4 linked regions of the Alligator mississippiensis genome follow. The protein of the gene in region 1 interacts with the protein of each later gene in a biochemical or structural test. Links are inferred from orthologs where the notes say so. Each region holds a gene or a part of one and is shown in the gene's direction. Other genes may lie near its edges. The genes, in order: protein PML-like, KLHL20, MAPK7 and HIPK2.

The links.
Region 2: the proteins of protein PML-like (region 1) and KLHL20 form a complex in vitro, tested with the Homo sapiens proteins (3 studies listed by BioGRID and IntAct, with this or other methods). The link is inferred for Alligator mississippiensis from reciprocal best matches to the Homo sapiens genes PML and KLHL20.
Region 3: the proteins of protein PML-like (region 1) and MAPK7 form a complex in vitro, tested with the Homo sapiens proteins (2 studies listed by BioGRID and IntAct, with this or other methods). The link is inferred for Alligator mississippiensis from reciprocal best matches to the Homo sapiens genes PML and MAPK7.
Region 4: of the proteins of protein PML-like (region 1) and HIPK2, one has a biochemical effect on the other in vitro, tested with the Homo sapiens proteins (2 studies listed by BioGRID). The link is inferred for Alligator mississippiensis from reciprocal best matches to the Homo sapiens genes PML and HIPK2.

What each region holds. Positions count from the first base shown.
Region 1 is NC_081834.1:42,410,797-42,418,848, forward strand, and holds the start of protein PML-like, read left to right. Parts: upstream 1-4,831; 5' UTR 4,832-4,957; coding exon 4,958-5,008; intron 5,009-6,636; coding exon 6,637-7,109; intron 7,110-8,052.
Region 2 is NC_081828.1:47,801,897-47,809,654, forward strand, and holds the start of KLHL20 (kelch-like protein 20), read left to right. Parts: upstream 1-4,723; 5' UTR 4,724-4,797; coding exon 4,798-4,838; intron 4,839-7,758. UniProt on the Homo sapiens protein: Substrate-specific adapter of a BCR (BTB-CUL3-RBX1) E3 ubiquitin-protein ligase complex involved in interferon response and anterograde Golgi to endosome transport.
Region 3 is NC_081830.1:449,204-456,498, reverse strand, and holds the start of MAPK7 (mitogen-activated protein kinase 7), read left to right. Parts: upstream 1-4,268; 5' UTR 4,269-4,633; exon of another isoform or gene 4,634-4,873; 5' UTR 4,874-4,878; coding exon 4,879-5,047; intron 5,048-5,186; coding exon 5,187-5,352; exon of another isoform or gene 5,353-5,354; coding exon of another isoform or gene 5,355-5,422; intron 5,423-5,634; coding exon 5,635-7,145; intron 7,146-7,233; coding exon 7,234-7,295. Other genes in the region: uncharacterized protein LOC106739355, read left to right, coding at 300-419, 805-1,187, 1,570-3,726. UniProt on the Homo sapiens protein: Plays a role in various cellular processes such as proliferation, differentiation and cell survival. The upstream activator of MAPK7 is the MAPK kinase MAP2K5.
Region 4 is NC_081827.1:108,358,245-108,366,257, forward strand, and holds the start of HIPK2 (homeodomain-interacting protein kinase 2), read left to right. Parts: upstream 1-4,917; 5' UTR 4,918-5,369; coding exon 5,370-5,388; intron 5,389-8,013.

The sequences.
Region 1 (8,052 bases):
CCTGGTGCCCGCTGCCCCCCACTGCCCCACACTACATGGGTGGGCTCTGCTATGAGTCCCCTGACCTCCACCTGCTCTCCGAGCCCCCCCATGGCTGCCCCACCTGACCTAGCTCCAGCCCTTTAAGGAAAAAAACACCCCAGACTCACCAGCTCCTGCAGTGGTCTCGGGGCTTCTGGGGACTCATGCCGAGCCCCCCATGCAGCATGGGGCAGTGGTGGGCAGCGGGGATCGCCCCCTGCCCAGCAGCACCCAGAGTTGGGGCTTTTTTTTTTTTCCAAAGCCAAGAGCTGGGCTGGACGGGGCAGCCGTTGCCAGGCTGGGAGAGTGGGCCTGTGTGATTTGGTCAAATCGATTTGGGACGATGATTCGAATTACTGTCTCCTGAAATGGCTGAATCCAAAGCGAATATTAGCTGGTTTGCACCTAACTATTAGGTGCACAAATATGACTCACAAGATAAACCCAGGGATTTCAAATAGGAATCCAGAGTGTTAAAAGCATTCTGGTCTGTTGTGGTTTTTCCAAATCCTTTACAAGAGAAGAACTGCTCTAGTATTTTTCTGTAATCAAAAGCAGAGTGAATGTGAAGAGGTGACATTTTCTGGGTGTCACCTTAAATGTATCAAGGGATGCCTTGAGTCTAAAAAGTTTGAGAACCACTAGTTTAATAGTACTATTATGCTGTACCTAACCTAAGGGATCTGTCTCCCGCCTATAGGCCCTTTTCACTATTGCTGAATGGTCATGAGATGTTTTTAAAAGAAAAAGGAACATAACAGCATAATCAAGAAAAATCAAAATTATTTCATAGATTTCATAGACATTAAGGCTGGAAGGGACCTCGGAAGATCATTAAGTCCAGCCCCCTTCCCCAGGGGCAGGAAGTCAGCTGGGGTCATAGGATCCCAGCAAGATAAACTTCCAATTTTCTCTTGAAGGCGTTCAAAGTAGGTGCTTGAACCTCTGATGGCAGGCTGTTCCAGACCTTGGGGGCTCAGACAGTAAAGAAGTTTTTCCTTATGTCCAGTCTGAAACAGTCTTGCAGGAGTTTATAACCATTAGATCTTGTTATCCCTTGGGGCGCTCTGGTGAACAAACATCCCCCCAGATCCTGGTGGACACTGCTTATAAACTTATAGGTGGCCACCAGATTGCCCCTGAGCCTGTGCTTTTCCAGACTGAAGAGTCCCATAGCTCTCAGCCTGTCATCGTAAGGTCTGTGTGGCAGGGCACTGTGTGTGCCTGTCACTTCAAGGGCCTGGAGCTGGCAGCCACCAGGTGCCTGGTGAGGGCAGCCATTTTTGGAATCAGGGGCTGCCCATACAAGCAGGCAGTTCTGCTGTGAGAGGCCAGGCAACAACATCGCCTGGCCAGAGGGCTGCAGAGCTACAACTGGAGGTAAGGGAGGAGCTGTAGGGGATGGCTAGGAGTCTCCTGGTCCTGGGTATGATTTAAAACTGCACCCTGCTGGGAGTGGGTGGCCTGGTGGGGTTCCCAGTGGAGCGGGAGCCCCCAGGAAATGCCAGGCCAGTTACCACCCTGGTGAAAGGTGGGTTGGGGCACCTTAACCCCTAGCCCCCACAACCAGGTGAGTTACCCCTTGTTTTGGAGGGCCCAGAGGGTGGACCCTTGGAGAGAGGAAAGGGCCATTGACTCAGGACCTGTCTGAGTTTCCCCTGACTGTCCCATGCTGGGGCCAGGACCGGAAGGGTCAAAGGGCCAGGGGCCCACCCTGAGGGATGCCCAAGAGCTGAGGGCCTAGAGTCCCGACTGGCCTGGAGGTGGGCCAGGGCTAGATGAGCCGAAGGTCTCGGTGGGGGGGACCACACCCGAAGGGGAACCAGCTCAGGGAGCTGTGCTGCCCGGTATGATGGCAGAAGAGTCCGCCTGAAGGGGGGAATCCAGGTGGGTTCAGTAGTAGGGTTCTGGGGCCCAGTGGGGGGGCTGGTGATTAGAGGAACATCTAGATGCCATCTGCGAGGCTTGGGCTGCGGTGCAGGGGAGGAAAGGAGCTGCAGATAGTGCCCCCTGGCATCGGGGCAGTAAATGGGCAGCCTCCCGCTCAACTAACATCTACTAATTAATCAATTACCATCAAGGCGTGGGGGGTGAGAATGCGGGCGGTTGGCCCAAGAACAGGTGGGTGGGCCACAGAGATCGGCCCTGAGTAGGCCCCCTGTTACAGTCTGTTTTCCTGACCTCTGATCATGCATGTGGCTCTTCTCTGCACTCTCAAACTTCTCCACATCCTTTTTGAATTGTGGAACCCAAAACTGGACGCAGTACTCCAGCTGCGGCCTCACCAAGGCCCAGTTCAACGGGAGGATGACATCCTGGGATTTGCTTGAGAAGCATCTATGGATGCAAGCCAGTGTTTTGCTTGCTTTACTAGCCGCAGCATCACATTGAAGGCTCATGTTCATCTTGTGGTCAGTCATGACCCCCAAGTCCCTTTCATCCATAGTGCTAGCCAGCGCAGCACTGCTGAGCCTATAAGCATGCTGCAGGTTTTTCTTCCCAAGGTGGAGGACCTTGCATTTTTTGGTGTTAAACACCATCAGGTTCACATCTGCCCATTTCCTGAGCCTGTTGAGGTCAACCTGGATCACCCTCCTGTCCTCAGGTGTGGATGCTTTACCCCAGAGTTTGGTATCATCTGAGAACTTGGCCAGTCCACTTCTGACTCCAATGTCCACATCATTAATGAAGATGTTGAACAATGTGGGTCCAAGAACACAGTCTTGAGGGACCCCACTGGTCACAGGGCACCATGACTATTGACTTCTGTCAACCACCACCCTCTGGGTCCGACCACGGAGCCAGTTCTTCAGCCAGAGGATCATGGTGGACCCGAGACCGCAGTTGGCCAGTTTTGCCAAGAGATGATCGTGGGATACCAGATTGAAGGCTTTTTTAAAGTCAAGATATACAACATCAATCTCTTCTCCCTTGTCCAGGTGATAGGTCACCTGGTCATAAAAGGAAATGAGATTGGTCAAGCATGACCTACCTGCAACAAACCCATGCTGGCTATCCCTCAGGATGTTGCTGTCGGCCCGTCCATTAAGAATGGCCTCTTTGATAATCTTTTCTAAGACCTTCTCTGGGATAGAGGTCAGGCTGATGTAGTTTGCTGGATTCACTTTCCTCCCTTTCTTGAAGATAGGCACCACATTGGCCTTCCAATCGTCAGGTACTTCACCAGAGCACCAGGAGTTATTGAAGATCTGTGCCAGGGGCTGAGCTATGATGCTAGCCAGCTCCTTGAGTACCCTGAGGTGCAGATTGTCAGGGCCGGCTAACTTGAAGGTGTCCAGCCTCTCAAGGTGTTCCTTCACGAGATCAGCATTGATGGATTATCTATAAACCTCAACAGAAAAGAGGTCCTTGAGGTAGGCCTTGTCAATGTTAGACAGACAACAACATAAGAAACCTGAAGGTACTTGATGTAGGACAAGATTGGGAGGTTATATCTCATGATAGACGAGAATGGAGATACATCATCAAGGAGGCCAAAGTGCTATAAGTGCTGGTTGCCCTTCAAAGCAAGTAAGTAGGTGACAGAATGACTTATCCAACTGGATTGATAGACAGTCTGGGTCTGTCCTCTGCCTATACATGATGCTTCAAAGGAAGATAAAGCCTATCCTGATTATGCCTCATTGACTGTGCAATGGGTAGACATGTTCCTTAAAAGCATGGTGACCTGGCAGCAGAGCTCCCTCTTCCGATACATCCGCGCACAGCTCTATTGCCTCCCTGTCTCTTGGGCCCTCAGGTGAGGTGTAAAGTACCAGGTATATCATTTATGCGTGACTTGTACCCTGCTGTCCCTTATACCTGTGAGCACACAGTGGGCAGGGGCTGGCATTTTCCCCTCAATGGGTGTACCAGACTGGTGCTTAAGGCAACAATTTAACAGCGGCATTAGACAGATGGGCAAACTGTATGGGTCTTTGTCAAGCAGAGTCCTGGGGAGGGGCAGAGGTAACATTTGCAGTACTTCAGACTGTTTCATGGGGAACCCTGCATCACTGCTGTGGCAAATGGGGAATGGCTTGCCTAATTCTCTAGAGTCACTTAGCTGATGGGCTTGAACACCTGGCCCCTTCCAAGTCTTCACAGCCAAGCTCCTGGCAGCTACAAGACCATGGCAGGGTATGTTTGCCTTTTAAGTCACCCAGAATGTGGTGAGTTTGGGGCCAGAGAAGAGCTAGCAGGAGGGGATCCAGGATCCACAGAAATAAACAGGACCATGGAAACACTTTCCTGGGAGAGCAGATTGGAGAGGAGGGAGCTGGCCCCTAGCATCCAGCCCTGCCCTACTGCATCCTTCCTGTTGCACGAAGGGGCATTAGTTTATGCCGCCTACACAAGACCCCTCACCTCATGCCCTGTCAGAGACACGTCTGAAATGTTTTGCTGTTCCACCTTAGTAAAAACATCTCTTGGGGGTTATTGCAGTTGGGGAAATTGGGAACTGGCCAAGGATGTAGTAGAGTCTGCCCACACTTGGAGCTGTCTCTGTCACCAGCCCCCAAGGGGAGCTTGTTCTGCTTCTCTACCAGGAAGACTTTCTGCCAACAGGATCTGGAGCAGAATCAGAGCAACACATTGAGCCTCTGAATGAGCTGTTCAAGATAAACAGAGATCCAGGGCTGGTGCAGGCTTCCCTTGTGCCTTGAGAGGCCAGGAGGCAGAAGGAAAAATGTATGACAAGCTTTATGCCCAGGAGGGCTGGAAGATTTCAGACTATCCTCCCCTCCCCTGCCAGATGCATCACACATCAAAGCTGGGGTTGATCACCAGAGGGCAGGGCAGGAGCGCAGATTCTTCTCTCTGTCTGCCTGATACCCGGAAGCAAAGCTACTTTCATTTTTGAGGAAAGAAAACTGAGCTGCAACCAAGCTCAGAAAGCATCTGGGTGCCCCAGAGGAAACTGCGAGTGCAGATCATGGATGCCACGTCTCAGGAGCCTCCGGCTGACCAGGATTCCTCAGCCCCTGTAAGTTTGTCGCAGTGACCGGACCTTCTGCTAGAGGCTCTTGCTTGGGGTTAAGGATCAAGCTGGTAGATTAAATGTACAACAATGACGGAGGGGAAATAAGTGGTATATGAGGCTGAACAGCTCCTAGGACCTGGCTGCCTCATCTCCTTCTGTGGGTGGTGCTGTGGCTAGAGCATGTGCCATTACACTGGGGGTAGGGGATGTGGCAGGGCTGCCCCCTGGGCAGCAGAGATGGCTGTAGGAAGTGTGTGGGGGAAGCCAGTATGGAAGGGAGCAGGGAAGGCAGAGACAACCAGGTGGCAGGGAGGTAGTGACTGGGCAACAGCCCTGTGAACTCTCCAGCATGCAGATAGCAGCGCAGACTAGGAAATTGCCTCAATGATGCCCCAGGGCCCTTTTTGTGTCCCTTTTCAAATCTCTGTAGTTGAGAGGAGGGCTGCTTTGGGAGCTCGCGGGGCAGGGGGAGGAGGCAGGAGAACTTGGCCCCACTTCTGGTGACTGCCACAGACAGCCGATATGGCTCTGGGCAAGCCACTCGGTATATCTGGGCCTCTGTTCCCCTGGCAAACAATGGGACAAATGGTTCCCTACCTGATAGGGGCTCTGTAAAGATGAATCAATCAGTGTCCATGAGACATTCTTGGATGCGGTAGTAATGGGGGGATCTGTGGAAGTTCTTTAGGGAGGTGGCCTGAGGCTGGGTGCGATAGGGCTTTCAGCTCGGACTCACCCCTCAGAGCCCCTTGTGAGGAAAGAGGCAGTATGGTGCAGAGACAAAGAAAGGGGCCTGTGCACTATGGATGGGATGAAGACTGGGGACTGGCAGCTTGTTTGGGAAAGCTTGGGGGAGAAACAATGTGGTGAGCCTGTGGCGAGCGGCGAGGGAGAGGGAAAGTGTAGATGGCAGGGGTTCTGGGCATGTCTACACATGCATTTAGGCATGCCGAAATTTAACATTCATTAAGGTGATTTAGTCTCACTTTTACGCATGCATGTGTTACAGCGCATTAACTCCGTGTGTGCTTACTCATAGTTCCTCACTATTCATAGTAAAGTTAGTTCCAAGTCAGTCTGTGTGCAGTGTTAGTGTGCCTTAACACATCTACATGTGCATTAATGCACTTTAGCTATTCATGCCTAAATTTAATACCGGCTTTTGCACATATCAAACTTAGGCATGAATAGCCTAAAAATGCCATTTTTAAGGTGCATTGAGGGCCTGCACATGTAGATGTGCACTTTTAATCTGCCTTAAATTGGGCTAAAATGCTTTAAATCAGCATGTGTAGACATGCCCTGTGTCCTACACCCTCATGCTTGTGCCCAGCCAGTAGTCTGCTCCATCATGCTCTTTACATGCCTCTACCTCCCAAGCAGTGGTGGGAAGGACTAGCTACAGACTCTCACAACCAGGGTTTCCCTCAGCCACTGGACTCCCCAGTCAAGCTAGCTTTGGCTTGCTACATTGGGCCTTTCCAGATGTTTCTATTGCTTGGTATCCATCAAATGACCTTCTAGCAGCACTAGCAACACCTCTTTCTCCTTGCCCAATGGTCATCTCCCATTGGGATAATATCATAGTATGATTAATGCCAGGTATCTCTGTCCCTTTCTTCTCCCTAAAGGTGGTGGAGGAAGAGTTCCAGTTTCTGCTCTGTGATGGATGCCGGAATCAATCCAGAGAGCCCAAGCTCCTTTCCTGCCTTCACACCTTATGCATTGACTGTCTGGAAGAGAACAAGCCCATGGGCCAGTGCCCCATCTGCCAGGCTCCTATCTTGCAACCTAGTGAGATTCCAGACCAGGACAACGTACTGTATGCCAGGCTGCAGTCCCAGATGAAAACCTATCAAAAAATAGTCATGGGCATAGACTTAGGGTGTGGCAACTGCAAAACAGAGGGGGAGTTCTGGTGCTCAGACTGTGAGATGTTTATGTGTCTCACGTGCTTTAATTTCCATCAGAGGGTCCTGAAGAAGGAGAGCCATGAGGCCAGGAATGTGAAGGATCTTCAGGCCGGATCTCTCGCGGAGTTTCTTGAGGGTGCCCAGAAGCGCTATAACTTGTTCTGCGAAGTGCACGAGGCTCAGATTCTAAGGTAACATTCCCAACCTGGGATACTTTTTCTCCAGTCATATATGGCAGGAATAGTTGCAACATAGAATCATAGAAACAATGGACCAAAAGGGACCTGGAAGATCATCAAATCAGGTCCCCTGCCGTAGGCAGGAGGTTGAGCTCAAACTAGCTCAATGAGGTGCTTATCCAGCCTCCTCTTGAACACCTCCAAGGATGGCAACTGTACCACCTCTGCCAGGAGTGTGTTCCAGGTTCTAGTTACCCTGACAGAGAAGAAGTTCTTTCTTATGTCCAGTCTAAATCCTCCCTCTGTTAGTTTGTGTCCATTGGTCCTCATCCTCCCAAGGGTCTCATTCTAAAGAGTTCCTCCCCCAGATCTTGGTGCTCCCCCTTGATATACTTGTAGGTAGCTATCAAGTCACCTCTGAGCCTCCTTTTACTCAGACTGAACAAGCCTAGTTCCCAGAGTCTCTCCTCATATGGCCTATCCTCCAGGCCCCTGATCGTGAGGGTGGCCCTTCTCTGCACCCTCTCAAGATTATCCGCATCCTTCCTGAAGTGCGGTGCCCAAAACAGGGCACAGTACTCCAGCCTCGGTCTAACCAATGATGAGTAGAGAGGGAGAAGCACCCCTCTGGATCTGCTGGCAATGCACTGGCTGATGCACACTAAAGTTCTAGCGTTTGCCCTGCTGGCGACTTCATCACACTGTTGGCTCATATTCATCTTCCAGTAAATTGTGACCCCCAGGTCCCATTCAGAAGCTGTGCTATCCGGTGGGCTGCAACCTATCCTATAGTTATGGTGATGGTTCTTCTTACCCAGATGCAGGACCCAGCACTTTTCCCTGTTGAACCTCATCTGATTCTGATCAGCCCATAAATCCAGTCTGTCAAGGGCATCCTGGATCCTTGTCCTATCCTCTGGTGTGCCCGCATTTCCCCACAGCTTGGTATTGTTGG
Region 2 (7,758 bases), on another chromosome or scaffold:
GGTGCCCGGAGGTGGCGACACGCTGCCATCGCCCACTGGCGCCGGGGGGTGGGGACGGGGACGTGCGGCTGCGAGAGGCTTCGGGCGGCGAGTGAGCGACCCCTGGGGCGACCCCTCTGCCAGGCATCACCCAGGGCAGCTCCTGCCCTCCGCCTGCCCCGCCTCGGGGTGTCCGGAGCCCCGCGGGGCGTCTGAGCGCCGGGAAGGGCCCGGGGCGGGGCGGGGCGGGGGCGGTTTGCAGGCGGAACGGCGAGGCCGGCGGCCGCGGTTCCACGGGGAAGGCCGGGCGGGCGGACGCTTCCTGCCGTTGAGGAGACAGGCGGCGGCGGTCGCTGGTTCCGGGACCCGCAGCAGCAGCAGGAGCCGCAGGAGGCACCGAGCCAACCTGTGAGTGCCGCCCGCCACTGCCAGCCCCCGGCTCGGCGGCCGCGGCCGGGCCGGGCATGGAGCAGCGCTCCGGGGCAGCGGGGCGGGCGGCGGCTGCTGCGGCCTTGCGTCTCGGCCGGGGCCCCCCTGCCTCTGCGCTGCCCTCGGGCCGGGGCTCCGGCGGGCCCGGCTGCGTGTGTGCGCCTGTATACCTACATGTGCGCTCATGTGTGCATGCCTATCCCTCTGTGTGTGTGTGTGTACACTAGTGTGTTTGTGTGTGCTTTTGGGTGTGTGTATGCCTATCCCTGTGTGTGCCTGCATACCTACATATGCCCTTGTGTGTGCATGCCTATCCCTGTGCGTGTGTGTGTATCCATGTGTGTGTGTGCCTGTACACCTACATGTGCCCTTGTGTGTGTGCATGCCTATCCCTGTGCATGTGTGCATCGCCCAGAGCCAGGGTCACAGCCAGGGGAGCTGGGCAGCAGACGGGGCTACCTGAGACCTGATGGTCTCATTGGGCTGAAGACCCAAGTCTGGGGTGCAGGAGCAGCACGTGCCAAGAGGTTCCCTCTCTGGATTCTTGTTTTCTTTTTTTCAATCAGTATTTTTAAGGGGATTCATCTGCTCCAGTTGCTGATGAGCTAATGTGGCGGCCTCGCCTCCCATCTTTTTCCTGTGCAAAGTGCCTGCAAGGTGCAGCCAACAGCTTCTATTCAGGGTCTTGCTGGAGGGTCAATGGGGAGATGCTCGTTTATCTAAATGTACACGGTTAGGACATGACGTGATGCTACCAGCCTTGTAACTCTGGGAAGCCCTTCAGTGCTTCCCATGACACTTAATCCTAGGAGGGACCAAACGTTGCCCCTCCTGCTGAAGTCAGTGGGAGCCGAGCTCCGAACACATCTTGGGAACAGGTTCCAAATCTCTTACTGGTTGCATTTATTAGCAAGTTGGTGCCTACTGCCAGCTAGCTTGATAAGCTTGCAATGCTGAAGGTAGCAAAATGAAAGTCTTCTTGGAAACAAGGTGGCTTTTCTAGGCAAAATATTCAGCTGTGCCTATATATTCATATAATGTGTCAGTGGAATACCCCACTATGCATTTTTCAGTCTACCCACATGCAGGTTTTATCCACATTTGCAATCTATTTTATATTGAACCAAAAGTAACAAAAAATAAGCCTTGAACATTAGCAGGGGCAAGGGAGGTAGTTTTACCCCCTGAAAGAGCAGAGGCAAAGGGCTTATGCCCAAGGCTCTTGGAAGGATGAACCATAACTAAGAATTGAGCCCAGATCTTTTGAGTCCCGGTTCTGTCTTAACCACCAGACTATAATTTAGAAGTTTTGTTTCAAACCCAGAACTTGCCCAGTCTCATAGATAGGTATAATTCTACTTTTTCCTGTCTTGTAGTAATGCCATGTATCTCTAATTGTTTGTGGAGTCCTTTGTGTTTCTTGGGAAGAACACGTGAGAGAATTACGAAATGTTGGTGTGGTTGCTGTCACATCTTGAGTTCAGATGTTGATGAGAGATGCAATGAAACACTGCAGTACAGAAGGGAATATCTGATGTCTTGATAAAACTTAGTTTTGATATTGGCTTGATGGTTTTTATTGGAAAAGAAGCATGAAAACCTCACTTCTCTAAGGAGTTTATCATACCTCCTGAAATTCCAAGTAACACTTAGGACTGAAAAAATGGAGTGTTTTTGAACAGGGTTTTTGTTATTTTTCCTTTGTTCATTTGGCAGTGCTTTTATAATGCCAGTTTCACTGTTTTTACCATCTGTCAGTTTCTGTCTTGTTGTAAAGATCTATTGTGAATGTCAGGGAGATATATCAACAGGGGAATAGAAAATAAAACTTTTACATAGCAAAATAAAGGAATGTAATTAGTTGGATGCAGCATTTAAAGGACGTTCTGTTAGAAAGCAGTGTTTCATTTTATTTAGTTATTTAAAAAATCAAGTTTTAAATCCCTGAAAAAAGAAATATACTCCACACTAGAATTAGAAATCAGTGCTTGGATGTCCAAGGAATATGCAGCTATTACTTCTGTTAACAAGTAAAAGTACACTTATGTGGAATTAGTAAGAAACAGCATCAAGCAGCTTTAATTCATATAAGTCTATGAGGCAATCACTATATTATGGCTTTTAGTTGGGGGGGAGGGAAGGGGGCAGGGTGCAAAGCTGTCTTTAGGTCCTAGATGCAAACTTTGATCTTGAACAAATACTGACCCTCCAGTGCAGTTTTAGGTGAGCGCTGTGGTGCTTAATAGTTGCTAAACTTGTGTAAATTTCTGGTAATTTCATATGTATGAAGAATAAATATAGTGTAGCACATCCTGAGGAGTGAGAGAGAAAATGCCACTCTTCTAAAGAATCTTTCCTCCCTTGGTTTAAAAAAAAAAAAGAAAGTATTTTCAAATGTCCAGGGAGATGTGCAGGTTACTGAATTTGTGTGTGCGTGCCTACATCATCGCCACTATGCTAACTATATTGTAATTGATAGCTGGCAAGATGCTTACGTTTTCTTGTGGCTTATTCTCTGCAACCAAGACATTGTTTATCTCGCTGTAAATTTCCTAGCTGGAGAAAGACTCCATCATCTTATTATTTGGGTGTGGTCAGTTACATTGTTCTTGAAGAGTCATTATAAATAGAGAAAGTAGGACTTACTTTCACTTTTGAATGTTGTACTTCTGTTTCCTTAGGTCAGGAATTGAATTGTCGGGTGAAGGCTTCTCTTCACGGTGCATGGACGGAAAGCCAATGCGCAGGTAAGGTCAGAACAAAAAACTATAATTCTTTTATGAATATGCCAGGTGATTCATAGATTCATAGATGTTAGGGTCGGAAGGGACCTCAATAGATCATCAAGTCCGACCCCCTGCATAAGCAGGAAAGAGTGCTGGGTCTAGATGACCCCAGCTAGATACTCGTCTAACCTCCTCTTGAAGACCCCCAGGGTAGGGGAGAGCACCACCTCCCTTGGGAGCCCATTCCAGACCTTGGCCACTCGAACTGTGAAGAAGTTCTTCCTAATGTCCAGTCTAAATGTGCTCTCTGCTAGCTTGTGGCCATTGTTTCTTGTAACCCCCGGGGGCGCCTTGGTGAATAAATACTCACCAATTCCCTTCTGTGCCCCCATGATGAACTTATAGGCAGCCACAAGGTCGCCTCTCAACCTTCTCTTGCGGAGGCTGAAAAGGTCCAGTTTCTCTAGTCTCTTCTCGTAGGGCTTGGTCTGCAGGCCCTTGACCATACGAGTTGCCCTTCTCTGTACCCTCTCCAGGTTATCCGCATCCTTCCTGAAGTGTGGCGCCCAGAATTGCACGCAGTACTCCAACTGTGGTCTTACCAGCGCCCTATAGAGGGGAAGTATCACCGCCCTGGACCTATTCGTCATGCATCTGCTGATGCACGATAAAGTGCCATTGGCTTTTCTGATGGCTTTGTCACACTGCTGACTCATGTTCATCTTGGAGTCCACTAGGACTCCAAGATCCCTTTCCACCTCTGTGCCACCCAGCAGGTCATTCCCTAGGCTGTAGGTGTGCTGGACATTTTTCCTCCCTAGGTGCAGCACTTTGCATTTCTCCTTGTTGAACTGCATCCTGTTGTTTTCTGCCCACTTGTGCAACCTATCCAGGTCTGCCTGCAGCTGTTCCCTGCCCTCTGGCGTGTCCACTTCTCCCCATAGCTTTGTGTCATCTGCAAACTTGGACAGAGTACATTTGACTCCCTCGTCCAAGTCGCTGATGAAGACATTAAAGAGTATCGGTCCAAGGACCGAACCCTGCGGGACCCCACTGCCCACACCCTTCCAGGTTGAGACCGACCCATCTACCACGACTGTTTGGGTGCGACCCTCTAGCCAATTCGCCACCCACCGGACTGTGCAGTCATCCACATCACAGCCTCTTAGCTTGTTCACCAGTATGGGGTGGGATACCGTATCGAAGGCCTTCCTGAAGTCTAAGTATACGACATCCACCCCTCCTCCTGTGTCCAGGCGTTTCGTAACCTGGTCATAGAAAGAGACTAGGTTGGTCAAGCACGATCTGCCCGCCACAAACCCATGCTGGTTTCCCCTCAGCATAATTTGCCCTGCCGGGCTCTCACAAATGTGAGCCTTGATAATTTTTTCAAAGACTTTACCAAGGATGGAGGTGAGACTGACTGGCCTATAGTTGCCCGGGTCCTCCTTCCTCCCCTTCTTGAAAATGGGGACCACGTTAGCCCTTTTCCAGTCTTCTGGGACTTGGCCCGTGCGCCACGAGCGTTCGAATATTCCCACCAGTGGCTCTGCAATGATGTCGGCCAGTGCCTTCAGCACCCTCGGATGGAGCGCATCTGGGCCTGCCGATTTAAAGGCATCCAGTTCTTCCAAATGACTCTGCACCACCTCAGGATCTACGTATGGAAGTCCGGCGCCTTGCTGCTGCCTCTCTACAACCCCAGTGAGAGACTTGTCGTGCCCCTCACTTAGGAACACTGAGGCAAAGAACTCGTTGAGGAGTTCAGCTTTGTCCCCCCTATCTGTCACCAATTGTTTCTGCCCATTTAGCAGGGGTCCTATTCCTCCCTGGGCCTTCCTTTTACTCCCAATATATCTAAAAAACAATTTCTTGTTGTCTTTTACTTGGGTTGCCATCCTCAGCTCCATGGTAGCTTTGGCCCGCCTAACTGCCTCCCTACAAGCACGAGCAGAGGAGGTATATTCATCTTTAGTGATCTCACCCTGTTTCCACTTTTTATGTGCTCCCCTTTTGGCCCTTAGGCTGCCCTGGATTTCTCTGGTCAGCCATGGAAGCCTCCTGGCCCCTTTCCCTCTTTTGCCTCACTCGGGGATCGTCTTGCTTTGTGCCCGAAGGATCGTTTCCTTTAGGCACAGCCACCCTTCTTGGGCTCCCATCCCATCAAAACTCCTACTCTGCAGTGCTTCCTTGACTAATCGCCTGAGTGCATTGAGATCAGCTTTCCTAAAGTCTAGCACTTTCACCCTACTAGTTACCTTACCCACTCGCCGTCTTATGTTGAATTCTATTATAAGGTGATCACTGTCTCCCAAATGGCTACCGATCTGGAGGTCCCCTATCATGTCATCTCCCGCTGCCAATATCAGATCCAGTATGGCATTCCCCCTAGTGGGACCATGCACCTCCTGTGTCAGGTGGAGGTCCTGTACACAGGTTAGAAACCTGCGTGAGCGATGGGACCTTGCTGTCTGCGTCTCCCAGCAGATGTCCGGGTAGTTTAGGTCCCCCATGACTACCGCCTCTTTAGCTTTTATGGTCTCCGAGAGTTGCCTCAGGAGCCCCGCATCTATTTCTTCCCCTTGGTGTGGGGGTCTGTAGCAGACCCCTACCACCAAATCCCTTTCTCCTTGCCCCCCATGTAGCCTAACCCACAATCCTTCTACTTCCTCAACCTCGGATTCTGTCTTGATGAGGGTTGATGTATATTGCTCACTGACAAAGTGCAACCCCCCCCCCCCCCCCTTTCTTCCCCGACCTGTCCTTTCTATACAATCTGTAGCCCTCAATATGTACCGCCCAGTCATGGGATGAATCCCACCAGGTCTCTGTTAGCCCCACTAAGTCATAGGTGTTTAGTGCAAGCAGGAGCGCTAATTCATCCTGCTTGTTCCCCATGCTCCTAGCATTAGTATATAGGCACTTGAGCCCTGCGACTGGTGCCTTTGCTGCCCCCCCGCTCCGAGTCCCAAGGGGCCCATTGTTTCTTACCTTCTTGTTTCTTACCTGTTCTGTAGTGCTGGCCTCCCCATGGCTTTCAGGTTCCCAATGTTCTCCTTCTTCAGGCTGGGCTGTCCTTGTGGGTGCCACATGGTTTGGTGGTCCACAGCTTCCCCTGCCCTCGTACTCCCCTCCCCCTGACGAGCCTAGTTTAAAGCCCGCCGGAGGAGACCCGCCAACCTAGTAGAAAACACACGCTTACCTTTGGGGGACAGATGAAGCCCATCCCAGCTGAGCATGTCCCTCGTCGTGATGTGCGGGTCATTGTCCAGGAAGCCGAAGCCTGCCTCGAGACACCACTGCCGAAGCCGCCAGTTGGTCTCTCTGATGCAGTTCTCCTGCCGTCTTCCTCGTCCGGTCACTGGTAGGATGGAAGAGAAAACCACCTGGGCACCGAACTCCTTCAGCACACCACCCAGAGCACAGTAGTCCGTCATATTGAGTTGATTTCATCAGTAGCCCCTCTGTAAAATGTTTCTTTTTATACTCTAGCTAGTAAGGAGGCTGGTTGTGTTTAAGAGTTAATGACATTGATTTATTTTTAGAGCACAAGACCATGTGTCATTTGAATATGCTCTTAAGGAAAAGCACAGAAGCTAAATGTTACTGTAATTGCCCATTTTTACTGGCTCGCTGCCTTGCTTAAAAGGTACTTTTGACCAGTTACGTGCGTGTTTTGATTATACTGAATGAACTGTTCTGTGAACTATTTAGCCATATGTATAACTCTAATCATGTCCTTGATGTGCATTGAGTTTGACATTTGACCATAGATTCCAATTACATGCTGAGAGAGTTGTCTTCTACCTGTGGGTGGCAGTTGCATCTAGTACAATAGACTGGGGATACAGCGGCAGGCTCATTCCTGTGTCAAGGGTGTTTTCCATTGGCTAAACATTGTAGTGTTGCAATTCATGCAAGGGTCCCATTTTATCTAGTACTTTTGATTTAAGTTTTGAGTGTCACATAATTAGGCTTTGTAACGCATTCAGACCTGTACCTTGAAACAGGCTATTTGGAGGCATCCTGTCTATATTTGCATGGTTGTGAATGACTTTCAAAAGCTGTCAAAGAGCCATTGGGACTAATGAAAATTTATGCAAATCACTCAGCTTGACGTACTGGCTACACTTGTTGGATCAAATCAGCTGGTGGCAGAGGGAGACTGTTATGTGCAGAATGGTAATCATGTAATGTTAAAATAGAAAAAGGTGCATTACCAACTGCATTACTAACCCTTCCAAATGGGAATTGGAAGGGGTATTAACTCAGTACCCTTCTGCAGAGGTTTATTGAGTTTTATGTGAACCCCATCAACCATAACAAAAAGCTTGTGAGTGCCACTGTTTCAGTTTAAACTAATAAATGCATGTTGCAATACGACATGGGCATTGCTGGAATCATTCAGCATTTTGCTGACACAGGAAAACTTTTAGACAATGAGGAGCCCCTCACTGCCTCCAAATAGCCTGTTTCAAGGTACAGGTCTGAATGCGTTACAAAGCATAATTATGTGACACTCAGAACTGAAATCAAAAGTACTAGATAAAATGGGACCCTTGCATGAATTGCAACACTACAATGTTTAGCCAATGGAAGACACCCTTGACACAGGATGAGCCTG
Region 3 (7,295 bases), on another chromosome or scaffold:
GGGGGCCCCGCCTGCTCTGTCTGTCCAGCTCCGCGCGCCGCCCGAGCCCTCTGTCCGTCTGCACGCGCACCCGCCGTCTCCCCGGCCATCTCTCTCGCTCTGTGTCCATCCGTTCGGCGTCCCCCGTCTGCAGCGTGTCCGTCTGTCTCCGCCTGCGTGTCTCTCTGCATCTGTCTGTCCGTCCCTCTCTGGGTGTCCGTCTATTCGATGTCACTGTCTCGATGCGTCTCCCCCCGCGACACGTCCGTCCGCCCGTCTCTCTGCACCTCTGTCTCCATCCGCCTATTCCACATCTGCAGGTGTATCCATCCACACTTACTGCGCTTTAATTTTGGTAACCGAGAACGACCGTGCAGTGCAGGCGTGCAACCACACACGCACGCCCGTACTGCGCAGGGCCTCGGACAACTTACACCAACGTGGGCGGCAGTGTGAGCCCTGCATCACACAGGGATCAAATTGACACTCGAGTTGTGACTGCACAGTAACGCACGTGTAGACGCCTTACTGTGCAGTAACCCAGTAGTGTGTGTGGACTGATGTGGGACTAACCTGAGTCCCATGCCAGTCCAGACATGGCATTAACACGCTTTAACACAGGCCCGTGTAGATGCCAGCTTATCCCCGCTTACCCTGCAGCAGTTTGCTCTTCGGTATCTACCTGCAGCACTTTACTCCACAGTAAATGCTTGTGTAGAGGCTGCCTGTCTGTCTGTCTGCATGTGTCTCCATCTACTAGATGTCCCTCTCTGTCTGCCCTTGTCTCCCTCCGTTTCTCCCTGACTGTGCCTGTCTCCCTTGCAGAGCCATGGCCCGCGGTGGCCGCCCCCACCCCCCCGGCCCCGGGCACCGGGTCACGGCGGGGCCCGGGAGAGCGCCCCTTCGCGTGCGGGGACTGCGGCAAGGCCTTTGGGCAGTGGTCGAAGCTGCAGCGGCACCGGCGGGTGCACACGGGCGAGCGCCCCAACACCTGCCCCGACTGCGGCAAGGGCTTCACGCAGAGCTCGCACCTGGTCCAGCACCGGCGCACGCACACGGGCGAGAAGCCGTACCGCTGCGCCCATTGCGCCAAGGCCTTCAGCTGGAGCTCCAACCTGGCCCAGCACCTGCGCACCCACACCGGTGAGAAGCCCTACCAGTGCCGTGACTGCGGCAAGGCCTTCAGCCAGAGCACCAACCTCATCAAGGTAGGGCTGGGCCGGGGGGTCCCAGGCATGCGGGCTCCACTCTGATGGCCTGTGGGGGACCCAGGTGTCCGGGCTTTTGACCCCCGCCTCTTCCAGGTGAGCCAGGCTCCCAACCCGCCAGCCTTTCCCGGAGAGTGTGGGTCACATCCGTAGGACCCAGCACTGAGGTTATCTGGGGGGGAGCAGTGGGGCTGGGAGTCTGGATGCCTGGGTTCTGTGGGGTGGGAGCGGGGTGAGACCAGTGGGGCTGGGAGCCCATATGTGGGGGGGTGGGGGCAGGGAGCCCGGACCCCTGGGTTCTCGGGTGCAGGGGGGCAGGAGCAGGGGCGCTGGGAGCCTGGATTCTCGACCTGAACACCCCCCCCATCTCCCCCCCCACCAGCACCAGCGGTCGCACACGGGCGAGAAGCCGTACCGCTGCGCCGCCTGCCCCAAGAGCTTCTACCGCAGCTCGGACCTGCTGCAGCACCAGGCCACGCACTCGGGCGAGCGGCCCTTCAAGTGCCCGACCTGCGGCAAGGGCTTTACGCAGAGCGCTAATCTGGTGAAGCACCGCAAGATCCACGCCGGCGAGAAGCCCTTCCGCTGTGGCGACTGCGGCAAGACCTTCATCCAGAGCTCGGAGCTCATCCAGCACCAGCGCACGCACACGGGCGAGAAGCCGTACGAGTGCCCCACGTGCCGCAAGTCCTTTGGGCACAGCGCCACGCTGGTCAAGCACCAGCGCCTGCACATGGGGGTGGAGCCCTACCAGTGCCCCACCTGCCGCAAGACCTTCGGGCTCAGCTCGGCTCTGGCCCGGCACCAGCGCAGCCACACGGAGGCCCGGCCCCACGCCTGTGCCGAATGTGGACAGAGCTTCAGCCTGGCCTCCAACCTCACCCTGCACCTCCGCATCCACCGCGGGGAGAAGCCATACCGCTGCGGGGACTGCGGCAAGGCCTTCGGCATGAGCTCCACCCTCATCCGGCACCAGCGCATCCACACGGGGGAGAAGCCCTACCAGTGCCCCGACTGCGGGAAGAGCTTTGTGCGCAGCTCCCACCTGGTCCAGCACCGCCGCACGCACACGGGCGAGAAACCGTACCGGTGCCGCGAGTGCGGCAAGCGCTTCTCCCAGAGCTCCAACCTCATCACCCACGAGCGCATCCACATGGAGGAGCGGCCCCACGTCTGCCGGTCCTGTGGCGACCGCTTTGCCCGGCCTGAGGAGCTGCGCCAGCACCGCCGTGGGCAGCACGGCGAGGCGGTGGAGGAAGAGGACGACGAGGCGCCAGCCGTGCTCATCTGTGGCGGGTGCGGGCAGAGCTTTGGGGACCAGGTGGCGTTGACACGGCACCTGGATACCCACCAGGATTGCCGGGAGAGGCCGGGCCCTGATCGGGACCGGGAGATCCCACCTGGGGCTGTCCAGGAGTCGGGGGAAGTCCAGGAGATCCTGCCCGGTGATGCCGTGGAGTCCAGCCAGATCCAACCGGGAGGTCCCTGTGGGGTCAGCGAGGTCCAGAAGATCCAATCAAGGGGTCCCCGGAGGTCACGGGAAGGCCACGACCTCCAGCCCAGCGACGGAGGGACCGGTGGAGACCACTCAACGTTGACGCAACACCTGGACATTCATGAGTCTTGCCAGGCCACACCAGGGCCCCAGTCAGAGAGCCCATTGGGGTCCAGCCAGGCCCAATCGGATAGTCCCGTGGGGCCCGACCAAGCTCCGAAGATCCAATCCAGTCTCATTTGCAACGCATGCGGGGAGACTTTTGGAGACCACGCAACGTTGACACAACATCTGGACGCTCCCAAGTCTTGCCCCTTGGAGAGGGGGCAAGCAGGGGCTCTTGTGGCAGCTGGGGAAGCCCGGCAGGCCCAACCTGGAAGCCCATCAAGCCCTGACCAATGTGGCCTCATCTGCGATGGATGTGGGGAAAGCTTTGGAGACCGACTGACAGCACCAGCGTCGTGCTGGCTGCCCACGATGGTAGGATCCCCGGTGCCCGGAGAGGTCGAGGACAGGGGGAGCCGACCCCAGGAGCTCTTAGAGGGGACGTTTGCAGACCTCCTGCCCCCGCCCCCACGCCGGGAGCCCGGGGGGGCCCCTGCGCCGTGCCCCGGGTGCGGGGAGCTGTGCCGCGACGCGGCGGACCTGGCGCGCCACCACATCGGCCACATGCGCGAGAAGCTCTTCTCCTGCCCTGACTGCTCCCGGACCTTCGGGGACATCGCGGCGCTGACTCAGCACCAGCGCGACCACATCCGCCAGCGGCTCGGTAGCACCGGGGCACGGCGGGAGACCCCCAAGATGGCTGCCCGCCCCGCCAAGATGGCCGCCCTCCGGCGCCGCGAGAGCTTCCCGGGTCACGACCCTTGCCTCGCCGTCTCCACCGCCTTCGGGGACGACGGAGGGGACCCGGCTCCAGAGCCCCGTGCCCAGGGCGGGGGCCAGGGGCCGGGGCCGCGAGGGGCCGGCGCGGGGCGGAAGCGCCTGCGGGAGGACTCCGTGCTGCTGCGGCACCTAAGGAACCACGTGGGGGACGGGCCGTGAGGGCGCCGGGCCGGGCGGGCGGGCGGGCGGGGGTGTGCCCCGCCGGAGGGCAGGGGAGGGTAGCTGGGGGGGCAGAGTAGGCCGTGGGGCAAGTAGGGGTAGGACGCGGAGGGGAGACGGGGCCGGGCCGGTAGAGACGCCGCACGGCGCCGCGTGCTCCTGTCGCCCGCCCTGTGCACTGCCACCACCACCGCCAGCGCCCGGGACAGGACGGCGGGGCGGGGCGGGGCGGGGAGAGCCGCCTGGGTCGCCGCCCCGCTCCGCTCTGCGCGTGGCGAGCCTGACGGGGCGCGGCGGCGGCGCGGGGCAGAGTGGCGGCGGCGGGCGAGGGCACCGGGCCGAGGACCTGTGTCCTTCGACCTCCGTGCGAGCTCCCGGGGAGCCTCCAGCAGCAGCGCGGCGGTGGCGGGCGGTGCGGTGCGGTGCGCTCGTGTCTCCTCATTAAAGTCCTGCTGACGGCAGCGCGGCGGTGGCTCGCTCCGTGCCGGCGTCGTGGGGCGCGGGGGCGGGGCGCTGGGCGGCGCGGTCGCGTGACGCGGGAGGGGGCGGGGCAAGGACCGCAGGCGGCGCGGGGGGTCCCCCAGGGGTGGCAGGCAGGTGTCGGCTGCTGATGACGTAGCAGCGATGTCGCAGCTGCCGGAGGCCTAGGATCCCTCCCTGCGCCTCGGCCCTTTTAATCCCCCCGCACCCACGCCGCGCTGCTCCCTTGGCCCCGATTGGCCGTCACCGCCGGAAAGGAGGGGCCTGATTGGCGGAAGAGGCGGGACCTCCGGGGGCCGGGGTGTGTTGCCATTGGCCCCCTGGCGGAAGTCCCGTTCTACACCGCGGGCCGCACCCTGATTGGCTGGGGCGGGGCCCGCGGGGGCGGGGCCCCGGGTAGCGGCGGCGGCAGCAGGACGGGGAGCGGGTGAGCGTCGCCATGGAGACCAGCCCCGCCCCCGCGGGCGCCTGGGGTGCCCACATCATCCCCCCCACCCTCGGACACCTGAGCCCCACCCCGGCCCTCGGACGCCCCGGTCTTCTGGGCCTGCCCCTCCCCTGGGATCCTGGCCCCGCCCCCTCCCCTGGCCCCGCCCCTCCTGGACACCTGGGCCCCCCACTTGCCTCCCGTCGCAGCCCCGCCCGCACTGAGCCACCCTCCCCTCAGGCACGATGGCGGAGGCGGCGGGCGACGCGGGCACCCGGGCGGGGGCGGGGCTGGCGCTGCTGCGGGAGCGCTCGCTCGACGTCACCTTCGAGGTGGGCGACGACTACGAGGTCATCGAGACCATCGGCACGGGCGCCTACGGCGTGGTCAGCTCCGCCCGCCGCCGCGCCACAGGTACCCCCGTCCCTCTGCCGAGCACCCGGGACCCACCCCGCGCCTGGGTCCCTGCGTCCCCTCCGCCTGATGCCTGGGGCCCCCCCCCGGGCACCTCGCTACCCCCAGACGCCTGGGTCCCACGCCCCCCTCCCCACAGGGCAGCAGGTGGCCATCAAGAAGATCCCGAACGCCTTCGCGGTGGTGACGAGCGCCAAGAGGACCCTGCGGGAGCTCAAGATCCTGAAGCACTTCAACCACGACAACATCATCGCCATCAAGGACATCCTCACGCCGCCCGGGCCCCGCCCTGACTTCCGCGCCGTGTATGGCCCCCGCCGCCCAGGCACCCGCGCCCGCTGTGGGCCAGAGGCCTGGACGCCTCGGTTCCCTGGGGTGCGGGGCTGAGACCAGGGGTGTTGGGGCCTGGATGCCTGAGCTCTTGGGTGTGGGGGGTGGCATCGGGGCATTATGGGAATCCAGGCCCCTAGGTCCTCTAGGGTGGGGTGAGGAGGCTGGGAGCCAGACCCCTGGGTCCTCTGGCCCTGGCCAGGTCTCCCCAAGGAGCTTTGCCCCACCCGGACGCCTGGGTCCTTTCCTGCCTGCAGCTATGTGGTGCTGGACCTGATGGAGAGCGACCTGCACCAGATCATCCAGTCGGGGCAGGCGCTGACACCCGAGCACGTGCGCTACTTCCTGTACCAGCTGCTGCGGGGGCTGAAGTACGTGCACTCCGCCCACGTGCTGCATCGCGACCTCAAGCCCAGCAACCTGCTGGTCAACGCCACCTGCGAGCTGAAGATCGGCGACTTCGGCATGGCGCGGGGCCTGGCGGCACGACCTGAGGAGCACGCCGCCTTCATGACAGAGTACGTGGCCACGCGCTGGTACCGCGCACCCGAGCTGCTGCTCTCGCTGCATCACTACACCCAGGCCATTGACGTCTGGTCGGTCGGCTGCATCTTCGCCGAGATGATGGGCCGGCGCCAGCTCTTCCCTGGCAAGAACTATCTGCACCAGCTGCAACTCATCCTGGGGGTCCTGGGGACGCCCTCGGCCAAGGTGGTGGGTGCCATCGGCGCTGAGCGAGTGCGGCGCTATGTGCAGGGGCTGCCACCGCGCCAGGCTGTGCCGCTGCACGCACTCTACCCGCAGGCTGAGGCGCCGGCGCTCGACCTCCTGGCCCGCATGCTGCAACTGGACCCAGCTCGGCGCATCACGGTGGTGGACGCGCTGGCCCACCCCTACCTTGCCAAGTACCATGACCCTGAGGATGAGCCCGAGTGTGTGCCAGCCTTCGACTTTGCTTTCGACCGCGAGGTGCTCACCAAAGAGGAGGTGGAGGCTGCCATTTTGGCCGAGATCGAGGACTTTCGGGCACGGCGGAGGCTCACAGCCAAGCCCGCGCTGAGGCCTGTGGTGTATCCGACGCCGCCGGGCAATGACATCAGTGCGAGCGGTGCCCATATGGCTGACATCAACATGGCCGATGCCAATATGGCCGGCAGAGCCAACATGGCCAGCACCAGTATGGCTAATGCCACCATCAACATGGCTGACGTCAATATGGCCACCAGTACTAACAGGGGGACTGGTGCTGACATGGCTGCCAACGTTAATGTGGCCACCGTCAATATGGCTGACATCAATATGGCCACCAACAGCAACACAGGGACCAGCGTTAACATGGCCGCCGTCAACATGGGTGACATCAGCATGGCTGCCAACGTTAATAGAGGAGCCAGTGTCAACATGGCTGCCATCAACATGGCTGACCTCAATATGGCTGCCAAACCCAATAGGGTGGGTGATGTCAACATAGCCGCGCATGTCAAGATGGCTGATGCCAAAATGGCCGCCAGCGCCACCCTGGCTGCCCATGTCAACATGGCTGCTGAGCTCCCGCAGGCCCCTGATGCCAAGGCCAAGATGCTGGCCGGGACAGACTGCACCATGGAGTCACCGAGGGCGGGCCCAGCCCTTGCCCAAGCCCCGGGGGAGGTGAAGGCGGAGCCGACAGTAGCCCTGCCCCCCAAGCGGGAGGGTGCCATCTCGGACGACACCAAGGCGGCGCTCAAGGCCGTGCTGCTCAAGTCAGCGCAGAGGCACCGCGGGCGAGGTGGGTGGGGCTGGGTGCCGGGAGGCCTGGGGGGTGGGGCCAGGAGCTGCTCCTGACCCGCTCTCTCCCATGTGCTGTCCCCTCACAGAGGCGGTGGTGCAGGGGGCGGGGCCAGAGGCGGAGCCACGCCGGGCAGTGACGGCACAGGAG
Region 4 (8,013 bases), on another chromosome or scaffold:
ATGCCACTAATGTAGCATGTGCCAGTTGTCTTGCTAATGCTCAGCAGAGAGCACAGGGTATTGATACAAACAGCTGGGTACCTTGGCACTCACAAGTGCATGAAGAGCAGACATCCTTCTATACATGGAAAAATCACTCTCAATACATTTCATGCAGTAGTTGCTATTCTGTGAGCTGACTGCATTAGGAGGAAAGAAATTAAAAATGGCAGTTGACTCACTTAAAAAAATACTTGACTGCACATTGCAAATGAAATAGAGTCCTTTAATGCTTACCTATATATATATATATATATATATATATATATATATATATATATATATATATAAACTGTCTAATCCTTCAATGATTTACATTTAAAAAGAAAACAGCTGTGTGTATATCATAGGCAAACCTTCAGCATTTACAAAATGTTTTCCCTTTCTTGAACAGATTTGGGGCCTGATTCTCAGTTATACTAAGGTCCCAGCACGCTACTTTTAAATTCCTTTTAACAGCCAAAAAAGTATGTAAAAAGGTCCTGGATGGAAATGTGACATAGACCCACTGTATTTATAGAAGCTGCTATATTAATGTTTTTACATGTTTTACTGTTTCCTATTACTGCATTTTTGAAGCTGCAACTTTCCAAGTAAGAAAATTACCTGTCTGGCCTTTGCTCTGGGGGTGAGCTGAGAAATTCAGAACCTGCTAATGAATTCATCCAACCTCCTTGAGGTCTCTTTGGGAGAAAGAGGAGAAAGCCTGTACTTCAGTATGCCACACTTTTTTTCCATTTTCCCTTCATATATCTATGCCAGGGCAGTGTTAAAATGAAATTGCAAAGGAAGAGCAGCCTACATCACAGCATCATTAATGCGTACAAGAAACCATAGAATACACTACCACCTTTAGCCAGTTCTTTGAGGGGGACCTTCACTTTCCTCATCCACTGCTCAAAGACCCTTTAATAATCCATATCTGAAGATAACTACTGTCCAAGATAAATCACCTATGCACACCTGTAGAAATAAAACTAGCACTTTGGCAACTGAGCTCCAAAAAGTCAAAGGTTAACTCTTCTGGCTAATGGGTCCCATATCCTTCTTCTCTGTTGCCTAGCTCCTGGAGAACACAATCATTCTTCTGGTCTGCCATGTCCTCTCCGGCTCTGACAAACTTCTCCCATATGGCTGTGGCCTCCTCTTTCCCCCACAGTAGCCAAAGAGACACTCATGAGAACAAAGTGGCTGTTGTACCTGGGGCAGTCCCAGATCTCATCCAGCTTTGAGCTTCCACTGTTACTGTCCTTCTGCTGTCCCCTGGTCTCAAGTGGGCATTCATAATTCTCATCTCTTCTAGCAGTGAAGCATGTGACCTGTCACACACCTTTGGGGTGCTTCTCACAAGGGGTCAGATACCTGAGGTCATATTTCTGTAGGCTTACAGTCGACTACTGTAACCTTACAAGGGGCCTATTAAGCATCCCTACCAGAGGCCCCCCAATGAAATAAATCCAGATCTCAGCTGGGCACACTCTTTCTCATCTGCAACACAAATGGCTGCATCCTGCTGCTCCTCCTAGTCTACTGCTTCATTTGCACTATAAGCATGTTCTGCTCACATGCAAGTGTGTATGAGTGAAAACCTATAAGCATGTTTTGAAATACTTATGGCTGCCCAAAAAATGTGTTACAACATTTTTTGGCATCTCTGGCATATTTAGTTCATTACCTATAATTATTTGCATTCTAGTAGCACTGAGAGGCCCCAGTTGTGATCAGCATCTCACAGTGGAAAGAACTGTATACATGCAGATAAAGCAACAGCTCTTGTTGCACTGAGCCTACAGTTGGAATAAACACATCAGGAAAATACTATGACCCCCATTTACATATGGGGAGGTGAGTATCTTGCCTATGGTCACTCAGGGATTGGTACAGTACAGCTAGAAATTGAACCGGATCTCCTGAGTCACAGTCCAGTACTGTAAGACCATCTGTCCTCTCCCAGCCTAAGTAATTCCTTCTATTGCCTATGATTCATGGTGGACAAAGCTGATGATGCTATTGTCTGGGCAGTCCCTGAGGTTCTAGGAAGATACTGTGGATTTTATTAGCATGCTGCATATTTTACATTTATAAAAAAGCATCCAGAGTACAGGGGGATTTAGGGTAAACTCAGAGAAATAAAGGAATGAAAATGCATAACACAGCACATTCAAATGTGCCATTCTGACAAATGCTGGGCCATCCTCTCCTGTGGAAGACCTGTAGGAAGGGACAACAGTGGAGAGAAATGCATCATGACATGTAGGAGGGGCTCTGGGGCTGCAGATCTGGGGATCCATGTCCCCTTCCAAGTTTGTGGATCTCTGGGGTATCAAGGGAGTGGAAACCTCTTTCATGCTGAGCCTACAGCCATAATAGATGAGGTCACTGAAGCCATACTATCATTGGATGGGTCCCAGCATGGCTGCGCAGTGTGGAAGAGAGTCGTGTTATCTCCTAAGGGGAGCTGAGGGTCTCATTTCTCTTATGCTAACCCCTCCTATTCCCTGAAATCCACTGAATCCTTTGCAGATGAAGAAGCCATAAAGGGGCTTCTGCATGGGGGGGGGGGGGGCGGTCTATATTATAAGTGGGTAGCATTTACCTCCTCCTGCTCATCAACATGCTATTAACCTTCTTTGTGTGCCATCTCCAGGAGGTGACCTGAGCTGTGGACAGAACACGTTATTTATTTTCTGCCCATACTGGGACAAACATGCCTGAGCCATGACCTCATTTTGCAATGATGCATAAACATGCTGGGGGTTTATCCGCAGCTGGTGTACATGTGTATAGTGCCATTGATTTTACTAAAGCTGTGTCTGTTTACACCAGCTGACTATCAGGTCTGGTGATTCTGGTAGTGTTAATAAATCCTAAAGGAACGTAGGAATTGCCATTCAGAGTCAGACCCGCAGTCCATCGAGCCCAGGATCCTCTCTCCAACAGATATGGGATCACTTGCCCTCCAGGAAGGTCTCATTGTAATCTCTAACAGTTAGAGACTGGTTTATGCCTTAAAGTGAGACATTATAAAGTCTGCGTGCATGTATATGATATACGTGTCTCTGGAGCTGATTGTCTCCTGACTCTGCTTCACATCTAGCTAGTGGCTCTCTGAGGGAGAGTTCTGAAGGTGCCATTTCCACTCCTAAGTCAAAATGAAATTCACTTCAGAGTCTTGAAAATCCCCTGGCAAAAGAAGAAATATTTTTAAAAATCCCCTTTTTTTTAACTTAATGTGTCATGTTGCCTTCAGTCAAAATAAAAATCACACCGAAATGCAGGGCTGCAAAAATGTTCTTCATGAAACAGACAAAGAAAGAGTCCTTCCCACTTTCTCACCACTCCCATGCCTCCTCCCATTTTACAGATGAGAAAACTGAGGCATTTGTTCACCCAGTTTACCTGAAGTCACCCAGCAATGAGATGCAGAGCCAGGAAAAAAAGCCATTTCCCTCACCTTTCCTCACCCTTTCTCTTCTGCCATCTTCTAATCATTCCTTGTTGTTTCAACCACCCTGAAAACTACCCCCCACCTCCCCATATAGATGTTCTAGGCAGACAACAGGGAGACGGCAGCAGAGGTGGACTTAGATTATGATTACTAGTAGTTTAGCCAAAGAAGGGACCTTTGATTATAATATAAGCAGAGAATTACAAAATTAAAATAACAGGGCGTATGATTTACAAAATTGGGAGCTGTGATGTCCAGAGCCTTGGTCTGGAAATAGAGACTCCAGAAACAGAGTCCAGAGAGTAGATTGTCAAAGGAGCTCAGCTTTCATGTAGGCATGTAAATACAGTTGCCCAGCCTTTAATGCTGGCTGTCTAAATAGGAGCTGTCAGGTACTAAGCTCTTTGGAAAGTCCAGTCCTAGGCTTTGCCATGAGCTCTGAGCCAACAGACCCACATGGAGTGCAGGACCGGGGCCCTAGCATGTGGATTTTTTTTTCTTCCTTTGCTATCACCTAGCCTGCCCATCTCTCAGTTTCCCCATCGGCAGAATGGGTAAATGCTTATTAGCATGTGGATTTTTTCCCCCCTCCCTTTGCTATGACATAGCCTGTCCATCTCTCAGTTTCCCCATCGGTAGAATGGGTATATAGTTATTTCCTCTCCCTTTGAGAGATCATTGGATGAAAGCTGCTGTGGAAAATAAAAGGCACATGTCAAGGTGCTGAAGACAAATTATTATGATAGGATTGGCATTTCCACAGCAATAGCTGGGTGAAAGAGATGGAGCTGTTAAAACGAAAACAGGGGGAGGGTCACCGCCTGTCAATCCCAATAAGTAAACACTCATTTGATGTAGTTCTTTCAAAAAAAGAAAAAGAAAAACAGGAAAAATCCTGGAAGCAGCCATGTATGTTTATTTTAAATGTATCCTCTAAATATTTACACTGCGAGCAACCTAAATGGAAAGAAAAGGGGGGGGGGGGACTGGAACTTTTGTCAGCAAAACAGATTGTGAAATGCCTGGAGGGACTCGGAGATGTATTGGGGGGGGGGGTAGGAATTTTCCATGCGATTGTAAAACATCAGCTCAAATGCTTATGATCCCCACAGCCAGTGAATGGCAAAGCTTCAATCAGCTGGGTGGGTGTTGTTTTTTTTTTTCCTTTTTTTCTTCTTTCTGTTCTGTAGAGAGGCAGAGACAGAGCCGCTTCACCAACTTCTGTTGACTGTTCCTTTTTTCTCCTGATTGAAATGTGTTGTTAAACACGATCCCACATAATCTCAGCAGAGGGTTTCTCTCTCCCCCTCTCTCGCTTCCCCCCACCCCTCCCTGTCCTTCTGGGAAACTGCGATCCGTGCCATCGGTGCTTGATTATTTGCAAACTCCCTTGGCTTTTTTTTTTTTTTTTATTTTTTTTCTTTTCCTCCTCTCTCGCTGCCTCCGTCTCGCTCGCTCTCCTGCCTCCCGTGCAACTTTTGCAGACACCCCCAAGGCGCGCAGACATGTTGAGCTGAGAGCTGAGGGGGGATCGGCGCAGTCCCCCCTGCCCCACCCCCACGGGCCCAAACCTGGGGGCCCTCTAGCCACCTCCCCCCCCAACCCTTGACCTGTCCACTGTGCATCGCCGCCCCCCTCCCCTCCCCTCCCAGCCCCTTCCTTTGCGGCGGCGGCGGCGGCGTTTTTGTTAGATGGACAGGAGCAAGGCTGGATGTTTCTGCCGGCCCCCGCGCTGAAGTGAGGCAGTGATGCAGGAGGCTGGCAGCTTCGGCTCTACGGAGAGACACAGGCTCAAGATGGCAGATGGGTACTGAGTTTGGGGGGCTGCGATCTCGCTTCATCGCCGGTGTGGTTGCCATGCATTACAGACATCCTCGCACCGATGGCCCCCATGTACGAAGGTAAGGGCTCGCGTGCCCTCCGCCTCCCCCCACCCCCAGCCCTGTCCTTTGGACATCTCTTTCCAGCCACCTCTCACCAGAAAAAAAAAACACAAAACCCAGCCACCCCCAAATGACCACAGATCCCAGAGCAGGAGCTGTCTGTCTGGCCCTGCTTTTTTTAAGCCCCAAAGAGCCCTGCCGATGGGTGAGATTTGCTCCCCTTTCCCCTCCCCATATGATGAAAAAAAAAAATCTATATATCTCCTGACCCCTCTTTCATGGGGTGTCTCTGTCCCTGCTTCTTTCTTTCTTTCTTTTGCCCATCTTGGTCCTTGGTGGGGAAGGGAAGGGGTGGAAAAGTCCATTTCAGAGCCGAGCAGAACAATGAAATAGAGACTAAGATTGCCCTGCGATTGCTCTGTGTGTGTCTCCTCTGCGCTGCGTGTGTGAAATGTAGTTTAATTCCCAGCTCCGAACACCCCGTTCCTTTTGCATAATCTCCAAGAGGCGTTTGCTTTTCTTTTATTATTATTATGATGATGATTTTTTTTCTGGCTGTTTTGCTGATCAACTTGATTTTTTTTTCATGGTTAAAAAAAACCTGTGTGGCTGTAGGTATAAATGTCAAGGGGGGGAAGAGGGGGGGGATTTCTTGCACCAGGCTGTCAGTTCTTTCAGTTTCCAGTTAAATCAACCCCAGGGTGGAGGTGGGTGGGGGTTGCAGTGAAAATGAAAAGTCAACTCACTTAGTTTCCCCAGTGTTTAAAAAAAATACACCCGTAAACATATTTAGGATACATGTGAAAAGAAAGGAAAAGAAAAAAAAAATCTGGCTTCATTTAAATCACCTAGCGTTGTATTTATTTCCTTCCCCTTCTGTCACCCTTTCTGGTTTGGAATTGATTAAAGAGCATTACATAAACTAGAGAAAAATCCACCCGGCTTTATTTTATTTTATTTTATTTCATTCAGTCGTGCCCTGGTGATTGATTTGTAGCAAGGGAGGATTTAAATGTCTGGGAAGGAGAGAGGAATGGGGGGAACAATACTTTTATCTGGATAGGGAGGCTGATAAAACTTATCGGAGAAGAATATCTAATATTAGTTGAAGTGTCCTAAATGAACCAGCTTTCTTGATGATCTAAAGTTACCGATCTGCCTATTGATGGCTAGGATGAGTCTGGGTGGTTTAAAATGTGTGGCTAAAAAATAGTTTGAACTCAGAAAGAAACAAAGGGGATTGTTTTAGAGGCAACAGAAAGAAATATTATTCCAATCTTTTCTTCCCTGGTTCTGAAGAATATGTGGGTTTTATGTAGCCATTGCTATTTTTTTCCCCTTTGCAACTTGCACTGATTAGAAGACGTACAGTGGATCTGTGGAACGAGAGCCTGCAAAGCAAAGAAGGATATTCATTATTAAATTGTGTTGGTAAAAAAGGGGCCACAGTTAGTGCTGGAACTGTTGGGAGTGTTGAAATGAAATGAAACAATGTTTCTCTTTAAATACCTCCTGGAGGCGCCCTCTGCCGGACATTTGGGTCTGTTTTAGAAAAGAAACTTGCTGTTGAATGAGGAACTGTAAGGACAGGTTTTGCCTTTTTAGAAGGAAATAAAAAGTGTCTCTGGTTCAGCCAGCTTTTCTTTTTCAGTGCTAATCTCACGGGGTTGCTCTGCCCTGCATCTCAGCTGGACCAGAATTGCATTGCTCCCTGCTCTTCTAGTCCTGGGCTCCATGCTTCCCAGCAGTGTCACTGCCCCCGAATCCTCATCCATGTCACAGATTTGGGGCCTCATGTATGGTAATACTGCTGGCATATTTCTGTCCTGAGCCAGGTCAGTTCTTTTCTATTCCAGACTTGGACCACCTGCACAGCTAGTCCAGTTTACCTTAGGCCTGACCTGCATCCCACAGTTGGCTATTCCTGTTCTTGAGTCTATCCGAGGCAGAGACGACTAATCAGGTTGGGTTATGCAGTGATTTTCTTAAGTCCACTGCAAGGTGGGGCAAACCAAGATCAGATTAATTTCTGACCTCAGCTGTATGATGGCTCCCTCCAGGTCCCCAGAGTTGGTGCATTTCACTTCAAGTCTCGCTCACAGATTCACAGATGTTTAGGGATGGGAGGGACCTAATGAGATTATTGGGTCCAGCCCCCCTGCTCTGGGCAGGAAAGACTGCTGGGGTCAAATAACCCCCAGCAAGGTGTGTGTCCAGCCTCCTTTTGAAGATCTCCATGCCCTTGGTATGAGGATGGACTAATGAAGTAGGCCCATAGGGCAGTATGAACACAATTCTTACCTTCCTTCCTTTGGGATGCATCCTTTCTCGATATTTTTCATTAAGTGCTCTTTCTGGGAAAGCACACGGCACCTTCTCTAACTGTGAAATATTATACAGGAAGAATAGACTTCAACCTTGTGGGAGCCAAAATACAGGATTCTTATCAAACCTGGTGGTGACACACATAAGCTTTTAGTATGAGTTGTAAGTTACTGTGCCTTCAGGATAAAGGAGGATTGTTTGGAACCAAACTGCAATAGCACTACAGCAGGGAGGGTCACACATCCAATCTCTGCATCATAGGGATACACCCCTGTCCTTAAAATGGGCAAATTTGATTGAAACATTCAATCTGAAACA